Linked DNA regions of Callithrix jacchus. The protein of the gene in region 1 interacts with the protein of each later gene in a pairwise test. Links are inferred from orthologs where the notes say so. Each region holds a gene or a part of one and is shown in the gene's direction. Other genes may lie near its edges. The genes, in order: VCP, LZIC, RNF115, EPSTI1, SLC43A3, LNX1 and UBXN8.

The links.
Region 2: the proteins of VCP (region 1) and LZIC interact in binary tests that used the Homo sapiens proteins (3 or more experiments, as listed by UniProt). The link is inferred for Callithrix jacchus from reciprocal best matches to the Homo sapiens genes VCP and LZIC.
Region 3: the proteins of VCP (region 1) and RNF115 interact in binary tests that used the Homo sapiens proteins (3 or more experiments, as listed by UniProt). The link is inferred for Callithrix jacchus from reciprocal best matches to the Homo sapiens genes VCP and RNF115.
Region 4: the proteins of VCP (region 1) and EPSTI1 interact in binary tests that used the Homo sapiens proteins (3 or more experiments, as listed by UniProt). The link is inferred for Callithrix jacchus from reciprocal best matches to the Homo sapiens genes VCP and EPSTI1.
Region 5: the proteins of VCP (region 1) and SLC43A3 interact in binary tests that used the Homo sapiens proteins (3 or more experiments, as listed by UniProt). The link is inferred for Callithrix jacchus from reciprocal best matches to the Homo sapiens genes VCP and SLC43A3.
Region 6: the proteins of VCP (region 1) and LNX1 interact in binary tests that used the Homo sapiens proteins (3 or more experiments, as listed by UniProt). The link is inferred for Callithrix jacchus from reciprocal best matches to the Homo sapiens genes VCP and LNX1.
Region 7: the proteins of VCP (region 1) and UBXN8 interact in binary tests that used the Homo sapiens proteins (3 or more experiments, as listed by UniProt). The link is inferred for Callithrix jacchus from reciprocal best matches to the Homo sapiens genes VCP and UBXN8.

Annotation. Positions count from the first base shown.
Region 1 is NC_133502.1:141,946,447-141,949,946, reverse strand, and holds part of VCP (transitional endoplasmic reticulum ATPase), read left to right. Parts: intron 1-1,219; coding exon 1,220-1,331; intron 1,332-1,415; exon of another isoform or gene 1,416-1,517; coding exon 1,518-1,690; intron 1,691-2,752; coding exon 2,753-2,895; intron 2,896-3,500. UniProt on the Homo sapiens protein: Necessary for the fragmentation of Golgi stacks during mitosis and for their reassembly after mitosis. Involved in the formation of the transitional endoplasmic reticulum (tER).
Region 2 is NC_133508.1:47,804,845-47,808,517, reverse strand, and holds the end of LZIC (protein LZIC), read left to right. Parts: coding exon 1-68; intron 69-1,153; coding exon 1,154-1,235; intron 1,236-1,968; coding exon 1,969-2,027; 3' UTR 2,028-3,173; downstream 3,174-3,673.
Region 3 is NC_133519.1:8,177,533-8,180,430, reverse strand, and holds part of RNF115 (E3 ubiquitin-protein ligase RNF115), read left to right. Parts: intron 1-90; coding exon 91-222; 3' UTR 223-2,898. UniProt on the Homo sapiens protein: E3 ubiquitin-protein ligase that catalyzes the 'Lys-48'- and/or 'Lys-63'-linked polyubiquitination of various substrates and thereby plays a role in a number of signaling pathways including autophagy, innate immunity, cell proliferation and cell death.
Region 4 is NC_133506.1:162,102,008-162,105,976, reverse strand, and holds the start of EPSTI1 (epithelial-stromal interaction protein 1), read left to right. Parts: upstream 1-1,169; 5' UTR 1,170-1,248; coding exon 1,249-1,454; intron 1,455-3,969. UniProt on the Homo sapiens protein: Plays a role in M1 macrophage polarization and is required for the proper regulation of gene expression during M1 versus M2 macrophage differentiation.
Region 5 is NC_133511.1:114,978,404-114,980,901, reverse strand, and holds the end of SLC43A3 (equilibrative nucleobase transporter 1), read left to right. Parts: intron 1-1,053; coding exon 1,054-1,158; coding exon of another isoform or gene 1,159-1,307; 3' UTR 1,308-1,998; downstream 1,999-2,498. UniProt on the Homo sapiens protein: Sodium-independent purine-selective nucleobase transporter which mediates the equilibrative transport of extracellular purine nucleobases such as adenine, guanine and hypoxanthine.
Region 6 is NC_133504.1:143,185,764-143,189,263, forward strand, and holds part of LNX1 (E3 ubiquitin-protein ligase LNX), read left to right. Parts: intron 1-2,225; coding exon 2,226-2,467; intron 2,468-2,981; coding exon 2,982-3,134; intron 3,135-3,500.
Region 7 is NC_133514.1:31,904,008-31,908,096, forward strand, and holds the start of UBXN8 (UBX domain-containing protein 8), read left to right. Parts: upstream 1-1,289; 5' UTR 1,290-1,322; coding exon of another isoform or gene 1,323-1,410; 5' UTR 1,411-1,462; coding exon 1,463-1,592; intron 1,593-4,089. UniProt on the Homo sapiens protein: Involved in endoplasmic reticulum-associated degradation (ERAD) for misfolded lumenal proteins, possibly by tethering VCP to the endoplasmic reticulum membrane. May play a role in reproduction.

The DNA of each region.
Region 1 (3,500 bases):
GCAGGAGAATCACCTGAATTTGGGAGGCAGAGGTTGCAGTGAGCCATGCCTTTGTACTCCAGCCTCCATCTCAAAAAAAAAAAAAAGAGAACACTGAGTCCAGTGATGGCTGGAGATGGGCTAGGTAATAAGTTGGTATCACTGCTTGTTGAATGATCCTAGCTTCTAGGAAATAACAAACTGAGTGTAGACCCAGTTGACCTTGGTTTGGGTGAGAGGGATTTGGATTTGCCCCATGTCTCAGCATTTCTTTGTTTTGATTTTTTGAGCCAACTCTATGGAATTGTGCTTTTGCAGAAATTACTGTGCAATTTCTTTTGACCTTGAGCCTCTTTCTGGTGGGTTCATGTCTGTTAGTGTTTTTTCCAAATATGATGGTCTTTATGCTTGGCATTCCTTTGGTACCATGGAATCATCTCAGGGGAAGTTGTCTGGCTTACTTCATTCCCCTGGAAAGTTAGTTTATGCTTTATACTGTGGTGTTTTTTTTTGGAAGGCAGGGTTTCACCATGTTGGTCAGGCTGGTCTTGAACTCCCTACCTCAGGTGATCCGCCCACCTTGGCCTCCAAAGTGCTCGGATTACGGGTGTGATCTACCACGCCCAGCCCACTTTATACTGTTAATCATGGTGACCATTAATACCATGTGCCAGGTATTATGTTAAGCATTTTACATTCATTATCTCCATTAAGACAATAAACCTCTGAGATAAGTATTATACTCCCTATTTTATAGGGGAGGACATCAAAGTTTAGAGGTTAGGTAACTTGCCCAAGATCACAAGCGGGAGCAGAATTGGAATTTAGACCCAATGGGTCTGACTATAGAGTTCCTGCTCTTAACCACTCTTCTGTAAGTCTAAGACTGCTTTTATTTCTCTAATAACTATTTAGCCTCCATTTCTATTATGTCTTATTCTTAGGCTGTTTTCTGATCCTGGGGCAGGATTACTCACTTGGGGCCTTATAGCTGGACACTGATGCTCAAAATACCAGGAGCTGATGGAATGGATATTCTAATGTGTGTGGAATGGATATTCTAATGGATATATCTAATGCTAGATATTCTTCTTGTGACCTTGGCTGCCTTTCCTTCATCTGAGCTCTCTGGTTTAGGGACAGCTTCATCTAGTCACTATTTCTTTCTTGAGTTTTAGAGACTGGTGAGGCTCTTGGGGCTGGAGTATCTATTGGGACTGACTCAGTTTTCTCCTTCTAGTTCAAAAGGTGATGACTTATCAACAGCCATTCTCAAACAGAAGAACCGTCCCAATAGGTTAATTGTTGATGAAGCCATCAATGAGGACAACAGTGTGGTGTCCTTGTCCCAGGTAAGCTGAGGCCACAGACTAGTCTTTCCTTATTGGACTTACTTGAGGGATTTTCCCAGGTTTCTTTTCTCATTTTTCTTGCAGTGACTGCAGATAGAGTGGGGTTTACTGGGACTCCCAATCTCCAGGGCTGCTGCTTACTCCCTTCTGCCCAGTGACCAAAAGGCCTTAACCTTCTTTCCTCAGCCCAAGATGGATGAATTGCAGTTGTTCCGAGGTGACACAGTGTTGCTGAAAGGAAAGAAGAGACGAGAAGCTGTTTGCATCGTCCTTTCTGATGACACGTGTTCTGATGAGAAGATTCGAATGAATAGAGTTGTTCGGAATAACCTTCGTGTACGCCTAGGGGATGTCATCAGGTGTGTGTGTGGTTTTTGGCTCTGCAGGGATGGGAGGCCAGAGATAGCCTGCATTCTAGGCAGGACCCATGTATTACACAGGCAGGACCAAGTTCTTGGCACCTGTAGATATAGGAAGCCTCCTGGCCATGGGAAGACTTACACTTCAGGGTTGTCTTTAGATTTTGGTTCTGCCTTCCTGGGATTCGCAGATTTTCTCTGAATGTCCCTTGAGACAAATTGGCATTCCTATAACTTTCCTGATGCCCTATTTTTTCCTACCAGAGATGTAATTTATCATACTTAAAGCTTGGTTTAGGATGCCACTTGAGGGTATGTATCTGCTAAATGACCTCCTCACTACTCTCACTAGTATGTCCAATTAATGGCTTCGGATTGGAATGAGGTTGCGGTATGGGCATGGAAGGTGAGCTGGTAGCAGACCTTTTAAGCACCTAAATTAACTAGGGAGAAAGGGATAGTTGAAGTCAGACCCAGGATAGCTCCATTGAGAGTGATTTTGCTTATTCTTGCATAATTTTAGGCAAGAAGTTACCCCAACTTGGAGTCATCTCTTGCCACTCCTATCCAGCCAACCATCACCTGGCCAGGATCATCTTAGGCTTCTGATACTTTTTAATGGAGTCTGAGTTTCATGTAACTTTCTTCCTGATGGTGCTTAGTCACTTTCTCAAGGTGTTCTGACCACCTGGCAGAGATAATTTTATTTTTTTCACTTCTGTTTCTCTGACCCTGACAATTACTAGCTTAAGATCTTCTTTTGTAATATTGGGTCATCAATATTAGCTAAGGGGATTATCCTAGCATATCTCACTGAAGACTCAGCATATCTTTGTGGGGTTTCTAAATGTGTAGCTCTTGATTTTGGCTCACTGATTAGGAGTGAGTGGGGCTGTTCTTTTGCTCTCACTTCCACCCTGTTCTCCTTCCGCTCTTCACCTAAAGCCATCCCTGCCTTTTCTTTTTTACTTACTATCAGCTATCTCTGCCAGGCCCTTTTGGACACCCAGTGCTTGGGCCCGAAGTGTGGTTGGTAATATGGAGTCTGCTTGTCATCCTCAGCATCCAGCCATGCCCTGATGTGAAGTATGGCAAACGTATCCATGTGCTGCCTATTGATGACACGGTGGAAGGCATTACTGGTAATCTCTTTGAGGTATACCTTAAGCCGTACTTCCTGGAAGCTTATCGACCCATCCGGAAAGGTGAGAGCTAATTCTGAGCTTAAGGATTGTTGATTGTTGAGTTTTTGCACACTAGGTCATGGAATGATTTAGAGAAACTCAGCTTGGAATGTCTTCATCTCATTTTCTTTTTCTTCTTTTTTTGATCTTTTATGCTTTTCCCTTGTATTTATTTATTTATTTTTTAAGAGATGGGGTCAGCCCAGTGCCGTGGCTCACGCCTACAATCCCAGCACTTTGGGAGACTGAGGCAGGTGAATCACCTGAGGCCAGGAGTTCAAGACCAGCCTGGCCAACATGGCAAAACCCCATTGTGGGTGCCTGTAATCCCAGGTATCTGGGAGGCTGAGGCACGAGAATTGCTTGAACCCAGGAAGTGGAGGTTGCAGTGAGCAAAGATCAGGCCACTGCACTCCAGCCTGGGTGACAGAATGAGACTCTGTCTCAAAAAAAGAAAGAAAGAAAGAGATGGGGTCTCACTATGATGCCCAGGCTGGTCTCAAACTGCTGGGCTCAAGTGATCCACCTGCCTTGGCCTCCCAAAGTGCTGTGATTATAGGCATGAACCATCATACCTAGTCTCACTTTTATATATTTGTATACACACATGCATCCTGCATACAGAT
Region 2 (3,673 bases), on another chromosome or scaffold:
TGGAAAGAGACCTGTACACTCAACAGAAAGTGGAGATACTAACAGCTCTCAGGAAACTTGGAGAAAAGGTACCAGTATTTAATATATTAGATACAAAGAAAAAGTATGAATTTTTCATACAGAACATTTTGATCTGTGGTCTAGTTTGTGGTCCTAAGACACTTTTTTTTTTTTTTTTTTGAGACAGAGTTTCACTCTTGTTGCCCAGGCTAGAGTGCAGTGGTGTGATCTCAGCTCACTGCAACCTCCACCTCCCGGGTTTAGGTGATTCTCCTGCCTCAGCCTCCCAAGTAGTTGGAATTACAGGTGCCCACCACCATGCCTGGCTAATTTTTGTATTTTTAGTAGAGACAGGGTTTTGCCTTGTTGTCCAGGCTAGTCTTGAACTCCTGACCTCAGGTGATCCACCCACCTCAGCTTCCCAAAGTGCTGGGATTACAGGCATGAGCCACCATGCCTGGCCCCTTCTCTTTTTTTTTTTTTTGAGACAAAGTTTTGCTTTTGTTCCCTAGACTGGAGTCCAATGGTGAGATCTCAGCTCACTGCAACCTCTACCTCCCGGGTTCAAGTGATTCTTCTGTCTCAGCCTCCTGAGTAGCTTGGATTATAGGCACACATCACCATGCCCAGTTTATTTTTGTATTTTTAGTAGAGATGGGGTTTCATCATGGCCATGCTGGCCAGGCTGATCTCAAACTCCTGACCTCAGGTGATCCACCTGCCTCAGTCTTCCAAAATGCAGGGATTACAGGTGTGAGCCACTGTGCCCAGCCTCCTAAGACATTCTTTTTTTTTTGAGACGGAGTTTCGCTCTTGTTACCCAGGCTGGAGTGCAATGGCACGATCTTGGCTCAACCTCCGCCTCCTGGGTTCAGGCAATTCTCCTGCCTCAGCCTTCTGCATAGCTGTGATTACAGGCACGTGCCACCATGCCCAGCTAATTTTTTGTATTTTTAGTAGAGACGGGGTTTCACCATGTTGACCAGGATGGTCTCGATCTCTTCACCTTGTGATCCACCTGCCTCAGCCTCCCAAAGTGCTGGGATTACAGACTTGAGCCACCGCACCCGGCCTCCTAAGACATTCTTAACTGGTTTCTAGAACCTCCTGTAACATTTACTCACTCAACTAGACTTTGTTTCATTTTGTTTAGCTGACTGCAGATGATGAGGCCTTCTTGTCGGCAAATGCAGGTGCTATACTCAGCCAGTTTGAGAAAGTCTCTACAGACCTTGGTGAGTGCCCTCATATTTCTGAAAGCTGGTCATATGCTATTGCTCCAAACTGATGGAGAGTGTGGTCGAAATAATGTAATAACCTTTTCTTGAGCTTAAGAGTGAAACCAGAATTGTTTTGTTTATAAATCCGTTGTATTGGTTTTATTTCCCAATATAAAAAATAAATTAATGCAGTCTAATGTTTTTAAAATACTTGTCACATAGATGTAAATATAACAATAAACTAAAATTAAATGCTTGAGTCCAGGAGTTCTAGACCAGCCTAGGCAACATGTGAGACACTTTGTCGACAAAATTAAAAAGAAAAAAATTAGCCAGGTGTAGTGGCATGCACCTATAGTTCTAGCTACTCGAGAGGTTGAGTCAGTAGAGTCACTTGAGCCCAGGCATCTGAGGCTGCAGTGAGCCAAGATCACGCCATTGCTCCACCCTGGGTAACAGAGCAAGACCTATCTCCACCACAAAAAATTTTTAAAATAAAATTTTACATATTCTATTTCATAGCTAGAGCTGGAGTAAGGATTTATAACTAATACATTTCCCTTTATAGCTGGGTTGTTTGTGCAGAGGAAAGGAAATGGGGATGGCAATGGGAGCGTGTAGGCGTTAATATACTGGTAATGGAGGCTAATTATATTTTTGGTTTATATGATAGATTTTTTTCCCACTTTACTAGGAATTGTACTGCACTTGAATAATCTTTTTGTTTATTATGTGTCTTTCTTCTTAGGCTCTGGAGACAAAGTCCTTGCTCTGGCAAGTTTTGAGGTTGAAAAAACAAAAAAATGACCTGGTGCAGAAGCTTGTAACATTGATCACATTCTTATTGTAAATGGTGTCTTTCCTCTGGGGGTTTTCAGTTATGCAAAGAAATGAAGAGATTCTGGAAATGCATCAATAACCTAAGAAAAAGTGACATAAAAGTATACTTATGGCTTGTGTTTATGCTCTTCATCATTATGCATTGTGTGGGGTTACCTGCTTGAGTGATCCTGAACTTGCTGTGACAGGGACTCACTGAACTCTGCTCCTTGTGATTTGTCTAAAAGAGAAAACAAAGTGGACTTGGCTTTTATTAAGGCTGTTTAAGTGTTGATAGTGAATGAAAAGATGTGTAGTAATGATATTTTTCTGCTTGTAACTTATCCCCACTCATTGGAGTGAACAGTGAAGCAAGCTCAGTAGACTTCATATGTGTTCATAGAATTTTAGAGTTCCAAGGGATCTTAGAAATCATTTCTGTTTTTACAAACAAGGAAACAGGTCCAGAAAGAGCAAGTGACTTGCTTAAAGTTACATTAGAGAACTGACAGGTAAAACTCAGGTGTCCTGGCTCCCAGTTTAGTATCTTGAATTTTATTTCTGTACCATTTTATAAAAAATAACACTATTTGTGCAAGTCAGTGTTTGTGAAAATTCAGTGTCCCATTGAAAAGTTGACTGCACATGAAGGGACCATCCCCCAGCCTGTAAGCTGTCTGTATGAATGGGGCCCCTTGTATCTCAGAATTTTGAGGTTGAAACAATGGGAGCCCTGTTGAGCGTCTCCTAAAGTGACTTACCAGCCTGGTTGTTTCACCAGGGAAGCAATAGGAAATGGCAGCTAGAGGCCCTCCCTGTGTGTGACCTCTTGTCACACTCAGAGGGTGGTAACTGTCAGCTGTTATCTACTCTTCAGTTTTTGGAGAAACACAAAATAAGAGGAAAAGCAAATTTCCTGAGTATTTACATGTCTCTGCTTGCTCAAATATGTGGATATGTCCATATGCGTGTATATTAGCTTATTTCTTAAGCTCTGGCCATTTTATATCCTTTCATGTGCTTCTCTTTTTTTTTTTTTTCCTTCTTTATTTTAATTAAGTATTCTGGGGATCATGTGCTTCTCAATATTTTTGTTTTGTACTTTATACAAATTAAAAGCATTTTTAAAGCTTATTCTATACTGTAAACTATTAGGTGCTTTGCCAACCAGACAGATTAGAGGACCTCAGCTCCACTGATGCCTTATTTGGAACTTTTAGTGGGTTTTTTTTTTTTTTTAGATGGAGTTTTGCTCTTTTTGCCCAGGCCCGACTGCAATGGTGTGATTTCGTCTGACCACCACTCCACCTCCAGAGTCCAAGCGATTCTCCTGCCTCAGCCTCCCGAGTAGCTGGGATTACAGGCATGTGCCACCATGCCTGGCTAATTTTGTAATTTTAGTAGAAACAGGGTTTCTCCATATTGGTCAGGCTCATCTCGAACTCCCGATCTCAGGTGATCCACCCGCCTTGGGCTCCCAAAGTGCTGGAATTACAGGCATGAGCCACCTCACCCGGCAGGTTATTTTTTACATATTGATTTATGACTGTCAAAAACTCAGGCTGGGTGTGGTGGCTCATATCTGTAATCCCAGCACTTTGGGAAGCCGAGGCAGGTGGATCACCTGAAGTCAG
Region 3 (2,898 bases), on another chromosome or scaffold:
ATGTGACAGTTCTCAGGGTTACTTAAGTGTGCAGTACTCCCAGCTTCTCAGGCCAGGATCTTCACATAGACTAATACTTTTCTGTTTCAGCATGACACATGTCCTGTATGTAGGAAGAGCTTAAATGGTGAGGACTCTACTCAGCAAAGCCAGAGCTCTGAGGCCTCTGCAAGCAACAGATTTAGCAATGACAGTCAGCTACATGACCGATGGACTTTCTGAAGCTAAAGACCACACCTGAATCAGGGCTATGGTAATCATCTGACCATAGCTGTAAATTGTATCAAAACAAAAAATTAGTAGATGGATATAGGAATCACATAAGAAACCCAACGCATAATATTAATGCAATGAATGTTTTTCTTCTCTAAATTTAAAGTTAGTATCTACAGATGGAATTGTATCTACAACCAAATGCCTCTTATTCGTGAATTCAGAGTGATAATTTTATAAGTGTGAAACTGAATTATGTAGTACTCCCCCCACCTGAATGGAATCAATCCCTTAGTCTGGTTAGGGTCCTGCTATCTGCCATGTCGCCTTTGTAACAGAGGTTTCCACCTCCTTCTCCACCCTCTACCCCACCATTAGGGTATTTTACTGTAAAAACAGTGGAACCACAGCCCTAAAGTCCTGCTGATATAAGTCCTTTTGTCTTAATTATATTTAAAAAAATCTACTCTTGATCACATTAGCTGTGAGGTGAGGCCAAATTAATTCAGGAATCTAAGACTAATGATTTTGTTTTGTCTTGATTCCTGGAGCACAAATCAAAGAATTACGGTGAGAAGGGAAAAGGGCTTTACCATCATGTGCTTAGTTTTCTTACTTTCATTTTTAAAGACTACTTCTGTTGATGCAGTTTCCCCAGAAAGCTACATAATGTATTTTGGGAGCCTTATGTTGGTAGGAATCTGATTCCATTTCCTTTTTGGGAAAGAGTTGGGCAGCATACATTGCTTTGAAGAGTGTAAAAAATGATCCCCAACTCACTGATTTTGTTTGTTTCTTTCTGTTGCCTAGGCTGGAGTACAGTGGCACGATCTCAGCTTACCACAGCCTCGACCTCCCAGGCTCAAGTGATCCTCCCACCCCAGCCTCCCGAGTAGCTGGGGCTACAGGCGTGTGCCACTATGCCTGGGTAATATCTGTGTTTTTATAGAGACAGGGTTTTGCCATGTTGCCCAGGCTGGTCTCAAACTCCTGGGCTCAAGCGATCCTCCTGCCTCAACATCTCAAAGTGCTCAACTCATTGTTTACTGTCTTTTTTCCTAGTAATCTTAAAATAATTTGTGTCACAGAAATAGATGCAGTAAGCATCTTCAGCCAGTTCACTGTTTTTAGTAACTCATTGGTCTTCAGGAGTTCAGATTTTACGTTGTCACATTTTAACTCTTTAAGCCTATTTTTCATCTTTTCCGCTTGGTTCTGGCTATACTGACCAACGTGATCATGTCCAAATCAGCTTGGCCTGGGAGAGGTAGGCCTTATATTTTCAGCCTAGTAGCACCCCATGCCCATGCTCTTTGTAGTATTTAAGTGTTTAACGTTGAATAAATGAAGAAGGTAAGGAATGTTGTGTAAACTTCAAAATCTCAAAAGGGGAGACATGTAACAGCTGTTGGTGTGCCTGAAGAAGGTATAGAGGGGCACCATTAATGTTGTCACATTAGCCTTTGACAGTTTACTATGATCAGAACAAGAGCACCACTCTCTAATGGGTTTCTTTCTTGGCTAGAAGTCTTTCCCAGTTTCTGTTGACTATCATATGCTGATTTGTGGGTGATGGAAGGGGGCTAGAGATACCTTTTCCTGTACTTTGGTAGCGGATAAAGGAGTCAGGGAGGGCAAAGAAAAAGTTGGGGAGTGGCCTGCTGCAATAATAGCCTGCTTCTAAAAGTTGTGACCAGAAAGTATGATTCAGCTGGGCTCAGAGGGAATAAAAGATGTTTTCTCATATACCTCCCATATTACACCTCTGTAGTGATTGTTTATTTGGGGAATGAGATCTACTTACTGTGGGTAGCCCCTGAAATATAGCTTGAGAATACACATTGGTTTTGAACTGGGGAGGGAGACTTAAGGAAATGAGGTGAATTATGAATATTTGGCCGTGACTTAGATGGAGGAAGGCTGTGTTGAAGTTGGAACACATTAGAGTTTTCAAGAACACAATGTCAGTTGTCTCATTAGAGTTTTCAAGAACACAATGTCAGTTGTCTCAGAAAAATTATCACAGCCTGAACGCTTTTGTTTGTCTGTCAGCGTCTGGAAATGCCAGGACAGGCAGTAGTTTTACTTTCTGCTAGAGAACTAATGCCTAGAGAACTAGAAAGGATCTGAGTTCTTTACAAAGATCTGAAAGCTTTACAAGTGGTAGAGACAAAGTGCTGGATAGGGATCTGCCTTTTTATACACAGTATAGCACATAGCATCAGACTAAGTTACCTGAAATTTTCTTCACTGTTTTTGCTCTGATGGATAGAGGACGTGAGACTCATTTTGCTGTTTCCCAGACCTGTCCCTCTTAACAAATCTGTTGTGTTTCTTCTCATAATGGGAGGTACCTCAGATGTCCAGGTTAATTTACGTTGAGGAGTTAGGGTTCTTTGTGGATTTATTATTATTATTATTATTATTATTATTGAGACAGAGTCTCTCACTCTGTCACCTACACTGGTGGGCAGTGGCATGATCTCAGCTCACTGCAACATCTGCGTCCTGGGTTCCAGTGATTCTTCTGCCTCGGCCTCCCAAGCAGCCAAGATTACAGGTATCTGCCACGATGCCCAGCTAATGTTTTATATTTTTAGTAGGGATGGGGTTTTGCCATGTTGGCCAGGCTGGTCTTAAACTCCTGACCTCAGGTGATCTGCCTGCCTTGGCCTCCCGAAGTGC
Region 4 (3,969 bases), on another chromosome or scaffold:
ATTTGTTTACCTGTCTCCTAGAATACTCCCAGAATGCAGGTAATGTGAGGGAAGAGCCTTCACTCATCTTTGTGTAGGACAGCATTGTGACACTGGCGAGAATACTGGCACACCTCAGAATCATCTCAGAGCTCTTCAAAAATATGAATGCCATAGTTCACCCACGGACCTACAGAAACTGAGTCTTGCAAGTCCATATATATATATAAATATATATGTATTTTTAGATGGAGATTCGCTCTTGTTGCCCAGGCTGGAGTGCAGTGGCGCAATCTCAGCTCACCACATCCTCCGCTTCCTGGATTCAAGGGATTCTCCTGCTTCAGCCTCCCAAGTAGCTGGGATTACAGGCCTGCGTCACCATGCCTGGCTAACTTTGTATTTTCAGTAGAGACGAGGTTTCTTCATGTTAGTCAGGCTGGTCTCAAACTCCCGACCTCAGGTGATCCACCTCTTTTGGCCTAGGAAAGTGCTGGGATTACCGGCGTGAGCCACCGTGCCTGGCCACAAATCCATATTTTTAAACAGCCCCACATCACCATCGCACACTGCTCTGCACAGAGCAGGTATTTAATAGCTCTCCAATGTCTAGTGAATTACTTAGCAAGGCTGCCTGGAGAATCATGTCTACCTTACTTCATCTTCGCCGGTTTTTGGTTTTTGTTTTCTTTTGATTTCAGTTTCCATTTCCTGTAACTTGAAAGTATCTGCGTTGGTAACAGCCACACAGCAGTCATTCCTGATAAGAGGCAACATTTTGTTGAGATGATTTTAGCTACTAACCTAATCTCTGGTCTTTTAAGGTTACTATTTTTTTTATAGCCTCAAATATCCAGCGGTAACCTTAAATTAGAGTTACCTGTTAACAGTTTCTCAATTATGTTTCAGGATTGCAGTCACTTTACGGGCCAGTCGCTCAACAGGTGTCCGTGGCTGGTCACAGTTATTCTGATTAACCTCTAAGGTGGACTGTGAGACTTTAAACGGTCTCACCTGTAGCGACCCAAGCCGGCTCCAGTCAACATCCCCCCGCCGTTAACTGGGGATGAGGCCGGAGGGCGCCTCCGTGGAGAAAGGATGGGGAAGTTCTCTGGGGCGGCGCAGTCTGCAGCTGACACCGGGAAACCGAAACTCAGCCGTTAAAAGCGCTGCCCTTGCACTTTGGAATCGCATCTCGAGACTCGCGGGGCGCCCCAGCCGCTCCCCTCCAGCAGCGGCCGGCGGCGCGGGACCCGCGGGCTGTGAGCCATGTACACCCGCAGCCGAGTGGCGAGCTCCGGGCTCGGCGCCTCCCCTGCCTCCCGCCCGGCCCGGGACCCCCGGGACCCCCGGGACCCCCAGGACCCTTATGGGCGGCACGGGGAGCTGGGCCCGCTGCAAGACCAGAGACACGGTTTGGAGGCCGCCCCCGAGAGCCCTTCGCGGGAGAGCATCGTGCAAGCGGCTCGGAGGCAGTAAGTGTTTTAACAACCTGTTTTGGGGGCGGGAGCCCGGGCCCCAAACGTACTCACAAGCACCTTCATGGTCCTTGGAGTTTGAAACCACAGGGATTTTGACTGAATGAAAAACTCATTTGCTTTAATGAAAGCACTCATGCCTTTCCTTATAAACTGAGTCGGCTAGTTTGCAGCCCTTCGGTAAATACTCAGGCGGGTTCCTTCCAGGAACATCACTCTCCTGACTTTGGTGACTGACGACAGAGTTGAAAGACGCGGTGTTTAGAAACCCCCTAGGCATCCAGTACGATGTCATTTTCCAGGTATCTCCAGAACTCATACTCCAACCAGTATGGAAATGGGTTTTCCCTTACTGTTTTTAAAAACGTGATGCCTGGTAGGGCGCGTTGGCTCAAGCCTGTAATCCCAGCACCTTGGGAGGTCAGGGCCGGCGGATCACCTAAGGTCAGGAGTTCGAAACCAGCCTGGCCAATATAGTGAAACCCCGTCTTTACTAAAAATAAAAAATGAGCTGCATGTGGTAGCACGCACCTGTGGTCCCAGCTACCTCGGAGGCTAAGGTAGGAGAATAGTTTGAACCTAGGAGGCGGAGGTTGCAGTGAGCCGAGATCACACCATTGCACTCCAGCTTGGGCAACAGAGTGAGACTCTGTCTCAAAACAAAACAAAATAACAAAATTTGGTGCCCTAATTGGAATTACTATATCAGACACCAGCAGGTAAGGGTCAACAGGAAACGTGACATGGTGTAGAAAATTCAGATTCTGCCTCTAGCTCGGAGCAAGCCTGAATCCCAGCAAGACTCCCAGATAAACTAGCCTCTTAGAACCAGAGGAGTGGAGCTGAGACAGTGAGGAGGTGAGTGACGGTAGTATCTCTTGTCCCTTTGATGTGTGCTCCATGCAGGAACTCATAGGTAGCATTTATTCCTGGCTTTTGCTTCAGCGACTGCAGTGAATATCCAGGAAACATTTATTAAGCAAGTGTCACGGGCCTCTCTTTCCCCCCAATGGAATGAACTTCTTTAAGTCAACAGTATGGCTTATCACAACGTCACTGCCTTTAAAGTGCTGCCTCTGTGAACTGGAACTGTCCAAATGGTTTTATTTTCAGTGTCTCCTTTTCCATCGACTTCTAATCGTATGAAAGCCAAGCCCTGGTTGCTAAGGAACCGTATGTATCCTTATGACTGATGAACAGCAGATTTTCTTTCATTCCTTTTGGAAGCACCAGGCCTTTAATATTATTATTCAGCTTAGGTTCACCCTTACATGGGGCAGAGAAGCTGGAAATCAATTAGAGATGGTCGCATTTCTCTCCTTCTCAGAGTAATTGGTGTCTCACCACAAGAGAAGCAGGCCTTTACTTTGAAATATACAAGCTATAGTACTTAACAGTAACAAAGGTCATAGACATGTGGTCTCATCTCCATGAGTAGTTAATGACGAATACCATTTGCATGACTTTTTAAAAAGCATTTGTTTAGGTCTTTTTTTTTTTTGAGACGGAGTTTCGCTCTTGTTACCCAGGCTGGAGTGCAATGGCACGATCTCGGCTCACCGCAACCTCTGCCTCCTGGGTTCAGGCAATTCTCCTGCCTCAGCCTCCTGAGTAGCTGGGACTACAGGCATGTGCCACATGTCCAGCTAATTTTTTGTATCTTTAGTAGAGACGGGGTTTCCCCGTGTTGACCAGGATGGTCTTGATCCCTTGACCTCGTGATCCACCCGCCTTGGCCTCCCAAAGTGCTGGGATTACAGGCGTGAGCCACCACGCCCGGCCAGCATTTGTTTAGATCTAACCATTTATTTGGAAGCTCGTATCATCACATAAGCATTAACAGTTGCATCTATCTGTTTTCTTATGTGGTCGTAATTACCCTGGAATCTTACTAGACCAAATTGGTCAGAAAGAGAGTTTTCTGATTGGTTACCCAGGTCTTAAAACCCTGCAATTCCTAAAAAGATTTTCAAATAACCCATTAAAAAATACCAGGAAGAGTTTAGTTCTCTCTCACAGAGTCCCCCTTTTTGTGTGTGTGAAGCGGTTGCAGTCAGTACAGAATTATATATCCCCTTTCAGGGCTTTGATGTCTGAGATCCTGTTTGATGATCTCCTTTAGTTACTTAGATTCACTTTCTCATTTGTTTCCTTTAATGGAGTTGAAAAACCGAGGAAAGGCCGGGCGCGGTGGCTCACGCCTGTAATCCCAGCACTTTGGGAGGCCGAGGCGGGTGGATCACGAGGTCAAAAGATCGAGACCATCCTGGTCAACATGGTGAAACCCCATCTGTACTAAAAAAAGAAATACAAAAAATTAGCTGGGCATGGTGGCGCGTGCCTGTAATCCCAGCTACTCTGGAGGCTGAGGCAGGAGAATTGGCTGAACCCAGGAGGCGGAGGTTGCGGTGAGCCGAGATCGCGCCATTGCACTCCAGCCTGGGTAACAAGAGCGAAACTCCATCTCAAAACAAACAAACAAACAAAAAAACCCTAGTAAAATAAGTGGCAA
Region 5 (2,498 bases), on another chromosome or scaffold:
TCAAAAGTGTTTCCTGCTTATGGTGAGTGCAGGCGCACCCTAGCCTCTCCCCTAGGTCCATGCTGAGTTTCCACAATTGGCCCCAGGGACAGGAGCTCTGTGCTTTCACCTCTGTGTCCTTACACCTGGAGGGATGCTCTGGGGCCCTGCCCTAGGAGGTGGGCATGACTCCCCTGTTCTTTGCAGAAACTGAGGCCCACAGAGGTTACATGACTTATGTGTTCAGAGGCACCAGCAAGGGAGCCAAAGTCTTTCAACATTGAATTCGGTGTCTTGACCACTGCACAGCTCTATTTGCCTCATTTTTTAAAGCAGCAAGTTGTCGAATAAGAGTTTAAAATTCATCACTTGGAGAAAAGAAAGACTAAATGTTTTTTGTTTTTGTTTTGGAAGACAGGGTCTTTCTTCATCACCCAGGCTGGAGTGCAGTGCCACAGTCTCGCTCACTGCAGCCTCAGTCTCCTGGGCTCAAGTGATCCTTTCATCTTAGCTTCCTGGGTAGCTGACACTACAGGCATGTGCCACCACTCCCAGCTAATTATTATTATTATTATTACTATTTTTTGATAGACACTGGGGTTTTGCTATGTTGCCCAGGCTGGCTTTGAATTCCTGGCCTCCAGTGATCGCCTCTGCCTTCCAAAGTGCTGTGATTACAGCCGTGAGCCACCGTGTATGGCCAAAAGACTAAACTTGAAGTCTGAGGCGAATGACTTGATTGTGACATCAGGTGACCTAAAAATCAGATCTGTATTCTAGCTGGTGCCTCTACCAGCTTCCCATGTGACTTTGAGCATGCCACTGAATGCTCACTAGGCCTCGTTTCTTCACCTGTGAAATGGGCTTATTATCTCCCACCCCACCCCATAGTTCAGAATAGAAAGTAACTGCTTCCTCCAGGGCACCATAGTGTTTGAGTGAAAAGTAGACTATAAACTCAGTAGAATTCTGGTCCCTTCATTGGCCTTGGAATGGACCGGTGCTTGCTTCATTGAGCAACAGTTCTGTTGTTCAGAATTCCTGGATTTCACCTCACTCCTGTTCTCCCTGCAGGTAAACGTGATGCTCCTGCTTGCCATTCTTCTGACATTCGTCCACCCCTTTCTGGTATACCGGGAATGCCGCGCTCGGAAAGAAAGTCCCTCTGCAATTGCATAGTTCAGAAGCCCTGGCTTTTCAGCCCTGAGGATGGTTTTGCTTATCTTTCTCCACCTTTGAGGACTATGTGCCCCGAAAGACTTTGCCTATCCTGGCAAAAAAAAAAAAAAGAAACAAAGACATATTTAACTGCTAACAACGACTTCTGAGCCGCACTCAGTTGCCAAGCAGATTGAGATCACACAGACACAAAGCAAAGGCATGTGGAACTTCTCCTTTATTTAAAAACCAAAGTGTCTCTTTGCGCTTAGCCTTGGCAGACCCTTGATTCCAGGGGAGGTGACAGTGGGGAGGAAGTGTGTCACCTACTTCTTCAGGCCTGTTTGGCTCTAAAGCCTAGGTGTGCCCAGATCCTCTGCCACTGGTTAAATTTTCAGGTGAAGAGTGAGGTTGTCACGGCCTCAGCTATACTTCCTAGCTCTCCCTCCTAGCTCTCCCTCCAGAGCACTGCCTTGGTTAGAGAACTCACAGTGAGCTCTGGGAAAAAGAGGAGCAGGCAGGGTTCCCTGGGCTCAGTCTCAGCCCAGCCACTGATGCTGGATGACCTTGGCCTGACCCTGGTCTGGTCTGAGAATCACTTTCCCATCTGTAGGATGAGATGAGTTTTGGAGTTGAAAGTTCTTCCTGGAGCAGATGTCCTAGAAGGTTTTAGGGACAGTGACAGAGTCAGGCCGTCCCAAGGGTCATGGGAGCCAGCTGACCTGCTCGACCAAAGGATTTCTGACAAACCATCTTTGGGGATGTTTTCCTCTTCAAGAAGGAATATACTTTGGGCATTTAAAAGAAAATTTCTCTGGGGAATAATTTTGTAGAAAAATAAAGCTTCAGTGTCTAAGGCAACTACTGTTTCCATCTCTCTAGGCTTTGGGGCTGAGCTGTGTGTGTGTATGTGTATGTTCCTGAGGAGGCCCTACTCTGGCATGAGGGGAGGGCGGAGAATCTGGCTACACATCCTAGTGTGGCAACTAGACCCAAAAGTAGGGCAGGGACCCCAACTAGGATTCACCCCACTGGTCCTGGAACATGGGGCCAGAGACTTCCTCCCCCGGGAACCTCTCTGCTTCCTCTTCCTCTCCACACCCTTAACCTTAAGCAGAACCCCTGCTGCCCACTTCACACTCCCAGCTAGAAGCACTGGATGGAATCAGAGTCTTAGTTTGAGTCTCAGCTCTGCCCCTCAGCAGCTGGGCAAGTCCCTTAACCACTGTGAGTCACAATTTCCCCACCTGCAAAGAACAGTTAATGATTTCTATCCCTGACGGTGATTGTGAGAGTGTAAAGTCATTGCAACTACTTAACACGTGGTGGGAGCACATGAGGTTTTGCTCCTGTGATTACTC
Region 6 (3,500 bases), on another chromosome or scaffold:
GCTAATATTAAAACTACATTTAATCTAATCTAAGATGCCATTCATGATAAGAGATAGCATGTTTTATATGCCAGCAAAGAAGAGGACATTTAAAAATGTCCCATCAGTTAAATAATCCCCAAACACCAGAGATATCCCCATGAGGCATAGATTGGTCACACCAGACTCTTGTGGCTTTGAAATCCATTCAAATGAATTTGGCGGCAGCTTCTGCCCTCGGTTGTGTTGCTTGGCATGAAATAGGCAATTCTTTGAGTGTTCTCAATAACAAAATGTAACACCACTTTGATTCTCTTAGGGGTATCTTTCTAAAGATCTTTCCAAAATAAAACATTTACTTGTCCCTTTGCAAGAAAATAGGAATTGTGATTCTGCTTCTAACAAGGAATATGTGCTTCATCGATATCCAATTGCTCTGGTTTTGAGGCTTTCTATAATTTTTGATTCTAGTACTGAATCATGATATAATCTTTTCTAAAACATTCAAATGGCAGTTAAACTCATTAGTGTAATACCAAGCATGTAGCTGACTCAGTGGAAGTGACAAGAGGTACATATAAACTGGGTTTGCCATGCTGGGATGGTGGCATCTGCACCATGACTGCTGCCTGGCAACAGAAACCACACAGGCCCATCAATCACACATGCATCCTGATCTCAGACATGTTAAAGCCTGAAAAGAGCATCTGCAGATGAAGATGAAATGGTCTAAAAGGGACTTAGACTAAGATGTTCTTTTCATGCTTTAACATGTCTAAAAAATAGCTACAGTCTCATCAGATCTGATTGTAGTCATGTAGTCATGATGACTTTAATGAATTTGCATTCTAGTACTTTTGGCAAAAAGCACTACATTCCTGATAAGACTTAATGTCGATCAAACTTCACAGCAATCCAGAAAGTATATGCAAATTGGGAAGGTTAACCAGGTAAATAAAATCTCCCCAGATCACCCAGCTACGTAAATCTCAGAGCAAGGATTTGGATCTAGACAATAGGACCTTCCATTCTGCCATTTCTGTGGTTTTATGGGCAGTACAAATCATGTGAGCAAATCACTGTAGATTGACCTTTGATTTCAACTATTTTGAAAAACATGAAGCATCTCTCAAGTAGGATATCAAAGGGTTATTTAATATAGCTCAATCATACGGGGTTTTGCCTAATGAATTGATAAGAATTTATAATTAACACATTCATCATATGCAAATGGACACTTCTTAAAGGGGCTCATGGTATGATTTTTGCCTTCACAACTTTGGGAACTGGAGTGACTACCTGTAGCTACCCCCACCACAGTGCAGTGAGATAGCTAAATCACTATTTCCTGACCCAAACCTAGCCTGTGCACTGAAATGACTTGCCCAGTGGCAGTGTTCATGTTCAAGGCAAAATATGGACCTAGATCAGCTCAAACCTTGTCTCCTGAGCCTCAAGAATTGTTCTTTTTCAGCTTCTCTCTATTGTACCATTAAGTTGCCTTTCTCACAGTTTTTGGTTTTTTTTTTATAACATGGACAGTGAATGGGTAGAGACAAATATGCTTTTGCTAAAAACCACAAAAGCTGTTTTACTCTCTTAATGCTAGACAGCATAGCAATGAATGACACTTTTCAGGTCACGGGAGCCCCTAGCACCAGAGAGGCCCTCCCAGACCAGCCTAGAGAAAGAGAAGGGAAGCCACCGAGCTGCCGCCAGAGGATAGCAGTGCTGAACAAACTCACTCCTGTGGCTTTGTGGCGAGGGTGGTCGTGTTTCCATGGACAGTTAAATATGGAATCTGGGAGGAGCTTCATATTTATGTTGTGCTGTGGGAACAAAATCCAAAAGAAAGGAGTGAGAGTGTGACTAAGGGCTTTCAGGGTCAAAATAAACACCAGCAAGCAGGAATTACCGAACAGTTGAACATCGCCAACCTCAAGCGCTGGTCATGTAGATGCCATGGCGACTTGAATATATTTGCATTCCAGCAGCTAATGCAGAGAATGCTTTAAGAGAATACAGTGGGCATCTTTAAAAAAAATCTCAAATTGTGAATTCACTTGGTTGGCAAATGTGTGTTGAGTACCAACCTGTGAAAAGGGAAGAGAGGATACAGGGGCAGGCAAATCAGATTCCAAGTCCAACAAGCCCGTTTTACGCATTGATTGTATTTGAAGAGGTCTGACTGAGGTGTGGCAGGAGAGCCAAAGCTCTTCCTCACCTCCCCACTGGTTTTGTTACAGCTGTAAAGGTGCCTCCCACTACGGCCTGACCAAAGACAGGAAGAGGCGCTCACAAGATGGCTGTCCAGACGGCTGTGCGAGCCTCACAGCCACGGCTCCCTTCCCAGAGGTTTCTTCAGCTGCCACCATCCCCTTAATGACAGACGAGCCTGGCCTAGACAACCCTGCCTACGTGTCCACGGCGGAGGACAGTCAGCCAGCGATCAGCCCAGTGGACTCTGGCCGGAGCAACCGAACTAGGGGTGAGTCAAATGGGTGGTTGTCCAGGAATGGGCTCCTTGGCTTGGGATTGCCCTCTGTGGAATACTTACTGTGGAAAGTTCTAGAAATGTTTTTTTTTAAGGGGAAATTATTCTGGTAGTTTTGGCAGGAAGCCAATGTCCAATTCTCCAAAGTGAAATGAACCACAAGTACCTCCGATCATTACAACTGTGTGTAATCTGACTTGGTGAAAGGGGCTGAAACGAGACCTAATGATTCATCACTCCTGCAGTGTCAGTAATTTCTCAGCCACTCTGCTCAAGAAAAGTGCTATTGTGTTCAGTTCAGCCCAGAAAACAAAAAAGAAAAGCAGGATTTTAAACAAGTCCTACATATTTCACTGTAGAAAACTTAGAAAATACAGGTAAGCAAATTCTACAGTCCCACCACCTAGAGGTAGTCACTGTTAATGTTTTATTGTATATATCTTATCAGATATGTAAGTAAATGATGATTTCTACTAAATCGTAACTACTGTTCCTCTCTTTTCCTCAGCACGGCCTTTTGAAAGATCCTCTATTAGAAGCAGATCTTTTAAAAAAATAAATCGAGCCTTGAGTGTTCTTCGAAGGACAAAGAGCGGGAGTACAGTTGCCAATCACGCTGACCAGGGCAGGGAACATTCTGAAAACACCACTGCTCCTGAAGGTAAATGAACTCCCTACAAGGCTGGAAGGATACGGGCTGGGCTTCCAGGGTGACTTCAGGGATGATGCCATCTGATCACCACCCACCTTCTGTGACCCCTCTCTTCCCAAGAGTATACAATATTTTTTACTTTGATTAGCCCACTTCTCACATAAGCAGCCTAAGGCAGAAATTATTGTCTTTTTACATAGATGGAAGAAAAAAGTATTGAAACCCTTACCTTCAGGTGCTAGTGTTATGCATATGAAGAAGAATAATTATAGTTAATGAGTGAAAAGCATTTAAAACAATGACTGGCATGTGATAAATGCAATATATATTTGCTCTTCTTACTCTTTCAACCACATGTGAGGTGTGGCGCTGAGG
Region 7 (4,089 bases), on another chromosome or scaffold:
GAGACCATCCTGGTCAATAAGGTGAAACCCCGTCTCTACTAAAAATACAAAAATTAGCTGGGCATGGTGGTGCGCGCCTGTAGTCCCAGGTACTCGGGAGGCTGAGGCAGGAGAATTGCTTGAACCCAGGAGGCGGAGGTTGCAGTGAGCCGAGATCGCGCCACTGCACTCCAGCCTGGGTAACAAGAGCGAAACTCCGTCTCAAAAAATAAAAGTCAGATGAACTAAACTGAAGAGGTGGGAGAACAGATGGACAGGTCAGGAAAAAGAATTTTTTTTCTCCCAAAGTGCTGGAATTACAGGCGTCAGCCACCACACCCGGCCAGGAGATAATTTTCTTTTCTTTTCTTTTTGAGATGGAGTCTTGTTCTGTCGTCCAGGCTAGAGTGCAGCTGCACAAAATTGTCTCACTGCAACCTCTGACTACCGAGCTCAAGTAATTCTCCTGCTTCAGCCTCTTGAGTTAGCTGGGATTACAGGCGCCCGCCACCAAGGCCAGCTAATTTTTGTATTTTTAGTACAGACGGGTTTCACCAAGTTGGACAGACTGGTCTCAAACTCTGACCTCTTGAACTGCCTGCCTCGGCCTCCAAAAGTGCTGAGATTACAGGTGTGAGCCACCGTGCCTGGCCAGGAAAGATAACTTCCAAGTATGAAATGTTGTAGGTTGGGAGACCTCAGTGGCTTGGGAGAAGTGCACAGTGGTGAGTTATAGGATGGCAATGAGGTCACAGAATTATGAGGTCACAGTTAACAACGCGTGCTGGCAAAACTGATAAGGGGCGGAGCAAGGGGTAGGACCTGGCGCTAGGACATTCGTGTTGGGGGTAGGTGGTTGGAGCCAGGCCCCGCTTTTGAGTTGTCTTAACGCAGGAACCAAAGACTGTGGACAGGGCCAGGAACCGTTAGGGAGATAAGAAAGGTGCTACAGCTCACATTCACAGTCTACGGCCACAAGGCCACGGGAACAGGCTGTCTCCTCACAGCATCAGCTTTCCCTTCGGCTTCATTTCCCTCTGGAGAGCGCTTACTCACCGACGCTACGGAAACCGAAGGGGCAGCCTCTGCCCTGCTACCCTCCAAGGAGCCACCACCCTAGAGCCCACGCTCTTCTGGACATCATGTCATCTGGGGGACGACTTGCCTTTCTTCTGAAACACGGCTACAGACTGAATTAAAAATACAGGCCCCATCAATAACAACGCAGCCGTAGGATTCCGCTCTCTCTCAGCCTCCCCGCCGCAGGAGAAGATGCACTTCCTCCCTGACAAAAGCGGCCGGAAGGGGTGGGCTTTCCACCTGGACCAGGCGCTTCCGCCACCATGGCTTTACGGGAGGTTGTTGGCATTTTCTTTCTCTCTGCTGTCCCCCTTGTGTGTCTGGAGCTCCGGCGTGGGATCCCGGATATAGGCAAGTGTTGGCTTTTTCCCTTCGACAGTCACAGCTGGTAATTTTCACAGGAATGTTGCATAGAATGACCAACTCTCCGGCTGCGTCGCTTCGGAGCAGCTTTGACTACAACTCCCCGACTGCATCGCCCGTGCCTCCTACTTCCGGTGCTGACTCCACTTCGCAGAACCTTTTCCCTACAGGTGTGATGGTTTTGCGTGTGACAGGACAGAGGCGAAGAGCATAATGGCAGTCATAACAGTATTTTCACATCCTCGTTAACACTCAAAAGGGAATAAACAGACTGATAGGATGAAGGCCTTCTAAGAATTTATTAGGCTGAGAGGTTTTTGTTTTGTTTTTAAATTAGAGACAGGATCTCACTATGTTGCCAAGGCTGGCCCCGAACTCCTTGATTCAAGAGATCCTCCTGCCTCAGTCTCTCAAAGTGCTGGGGTTACAGGCCTGCGCCACTCCACCAGGCTTTGAGATGTAAATAAGGGGCCACACCCGTGAAAATCCCGTGGGGGCAGGGAAGGGATGGGGGAGGGGAGTATTCTAGGCAAAAAGTTTGTGAGATGTTGGAGGAAAAGGAGAAGAAGGCCATTATGGCTGAATCGAGGAGAGTTGGGGAGAGGAAGAGGAATTGGCTCAGGATAATGACGTTTATTGAACACCTATTGTAAACCAAGCAGTAGGTACTGGTTATTCAATATGTCATTTAATCTACACTACAATCAGAAGAAGGTAGATCCCCCTTCCCCCCACCCCCCACCCCCAACGGAGTCTCCCTCTCTTACCCAGGTAGGAGTGCAGTGGTGAGATCTTGGCTCACTGCAATCTCTGTCTTCCAGGTTCAAGCAATTCTCTGCCTCAGACTCTCGAGTAACTGGGATTACAGACGCCAGCCACCACACCTGGTTAATTTTTGTATTTTTAGTAGAGACGGGGTTTCACAATCTTGGCCAGGCTGATCTTGAACTCCTGACCTCCTGATCCACCCATCTTGGCCTCCCAAAGTGCTGGGATTACAAGCCAGAGGTATTGCTCCTGGCTGGGTAGGCACTATTATAACCCCCATTTTACAGTTGAGGGAACTGAAATTTAGGGAGGTTAAGTGACTTCCCTAAGGTTTTAAAAAGGTAGCTCCATTCTGTATGGAGAATGCTTTGGATGGAAGCTATGGTGGAAGCAGTGAGGTACATCAGGCTTTGCAAGTAGACAAGTAGTGATGGCTTGGAGTAGGACAGTAACAGGAGTTAAAATGTAGACAGATTTGGGATATTGATGAAATAGGATCAACCAACAGGCTTTGTTGATGGGTTGATGTTTGTGGCAAGGGAAAGGAAGGATTCAAGGATGACTGCCTCATGGGGGAATTGAACAAACCTAGGTGGTTGGTAGTGCTACTGGTAAAGGGAAAAGGGAAAGAAAACTGGTGGAGGTGCTGAGAATCATGAGTTGATTTTTGGACATTTGAGTGATCAGTTTACATGTCTGTCTCCCTTTTTAAAATCAGTTCTAAAGTTAGAGACCATAATGAAACTGAGCTTTGTATACTCCCTTTCTCCACCTTTTCTCCCTACCCCCAAGGAGTAAGATGTCTAGAAATGTTGCCTGCAATAAAAAATGGGGAAAAAATGCTTTAAAAAATGTACAAAGACTTTCCTGAAGCTTCCCACTCACTCAAGCTGTGTTAAAATATAACAAGACCTTTATCCAAAGGATCAGAAATGTTGAATTCACACTTACCATTTCCCAAATTGACCTGTTCCCTTGTCTTTTCAACATCCACTCCTACTCTGCTCCTTTATTTTATTATTACTATTTTTTGAGACGAGGTCTTGCTCAGTCACCCAGGCTGCAGTGGCCTGGTCATGGCTTACTGAAGCCTGGACTTCCCGGCTCAAGTTATCCTCCCACCTCAGCCTTCTGAGTAGCTAGGACTACAAGCACCACATCACCATGCCTAGCTAATTTTTTTGTATTTTTTGCGGAGATGGGGTTTTGCCATGTTGCCCAGGCTAGTATGAAACTCCTAGGCTCAAGCAATTCCCTCACCTCGGCCTCCCAAAGTACTGGGATTACAGGCATGCGCCACCATGCCCAGTCAGAAATATGCTTCTTGAAGGCAGAGGCCAAATGAAATCTGTATTTGTATTCCCAGAACTTACCACAGTGTCTAGTTTAATAGAACTAGGGACAAGGGTTCTGGAAATTGCAACCAGGCTCCTGGCAGCATCTTTATCTAGTTCTTGAAATTTTCATGGAATTAGCTTCTTTCTCATAGAATTCTGAAGGAATGATTGTTTCATTTGGATTGTTTTCTTTTTTTTTTTTTTTTTTGGCTTTCTTTATACACACACACATATACATATTTTGCTGCTTTTGGATTCTTGATAGTGAGCTTCCAATAATTACTTGTTAACAGTATTTAAATCAGTTTTACAAATCATACTTTATAGCGGCAGCAGGGCTGGTTATGCCTCTAATATTCAGACATATATTGGAAAACTAGCCTTGTCTTTTTCTACTGTGTAAAAACCTTTATTGTCAATACATTTTGCTTATACTTAAGCTAAATTTTTTTTTTTTGGACACAGAGTCTGTCACTCTATCACACAGGCTGGAGTGCAGTGGTACAATCTCAGCTCACTGCAACTTCCACTTCCTGGTTTCAAGCAGGTCTCCTGCCTCAGC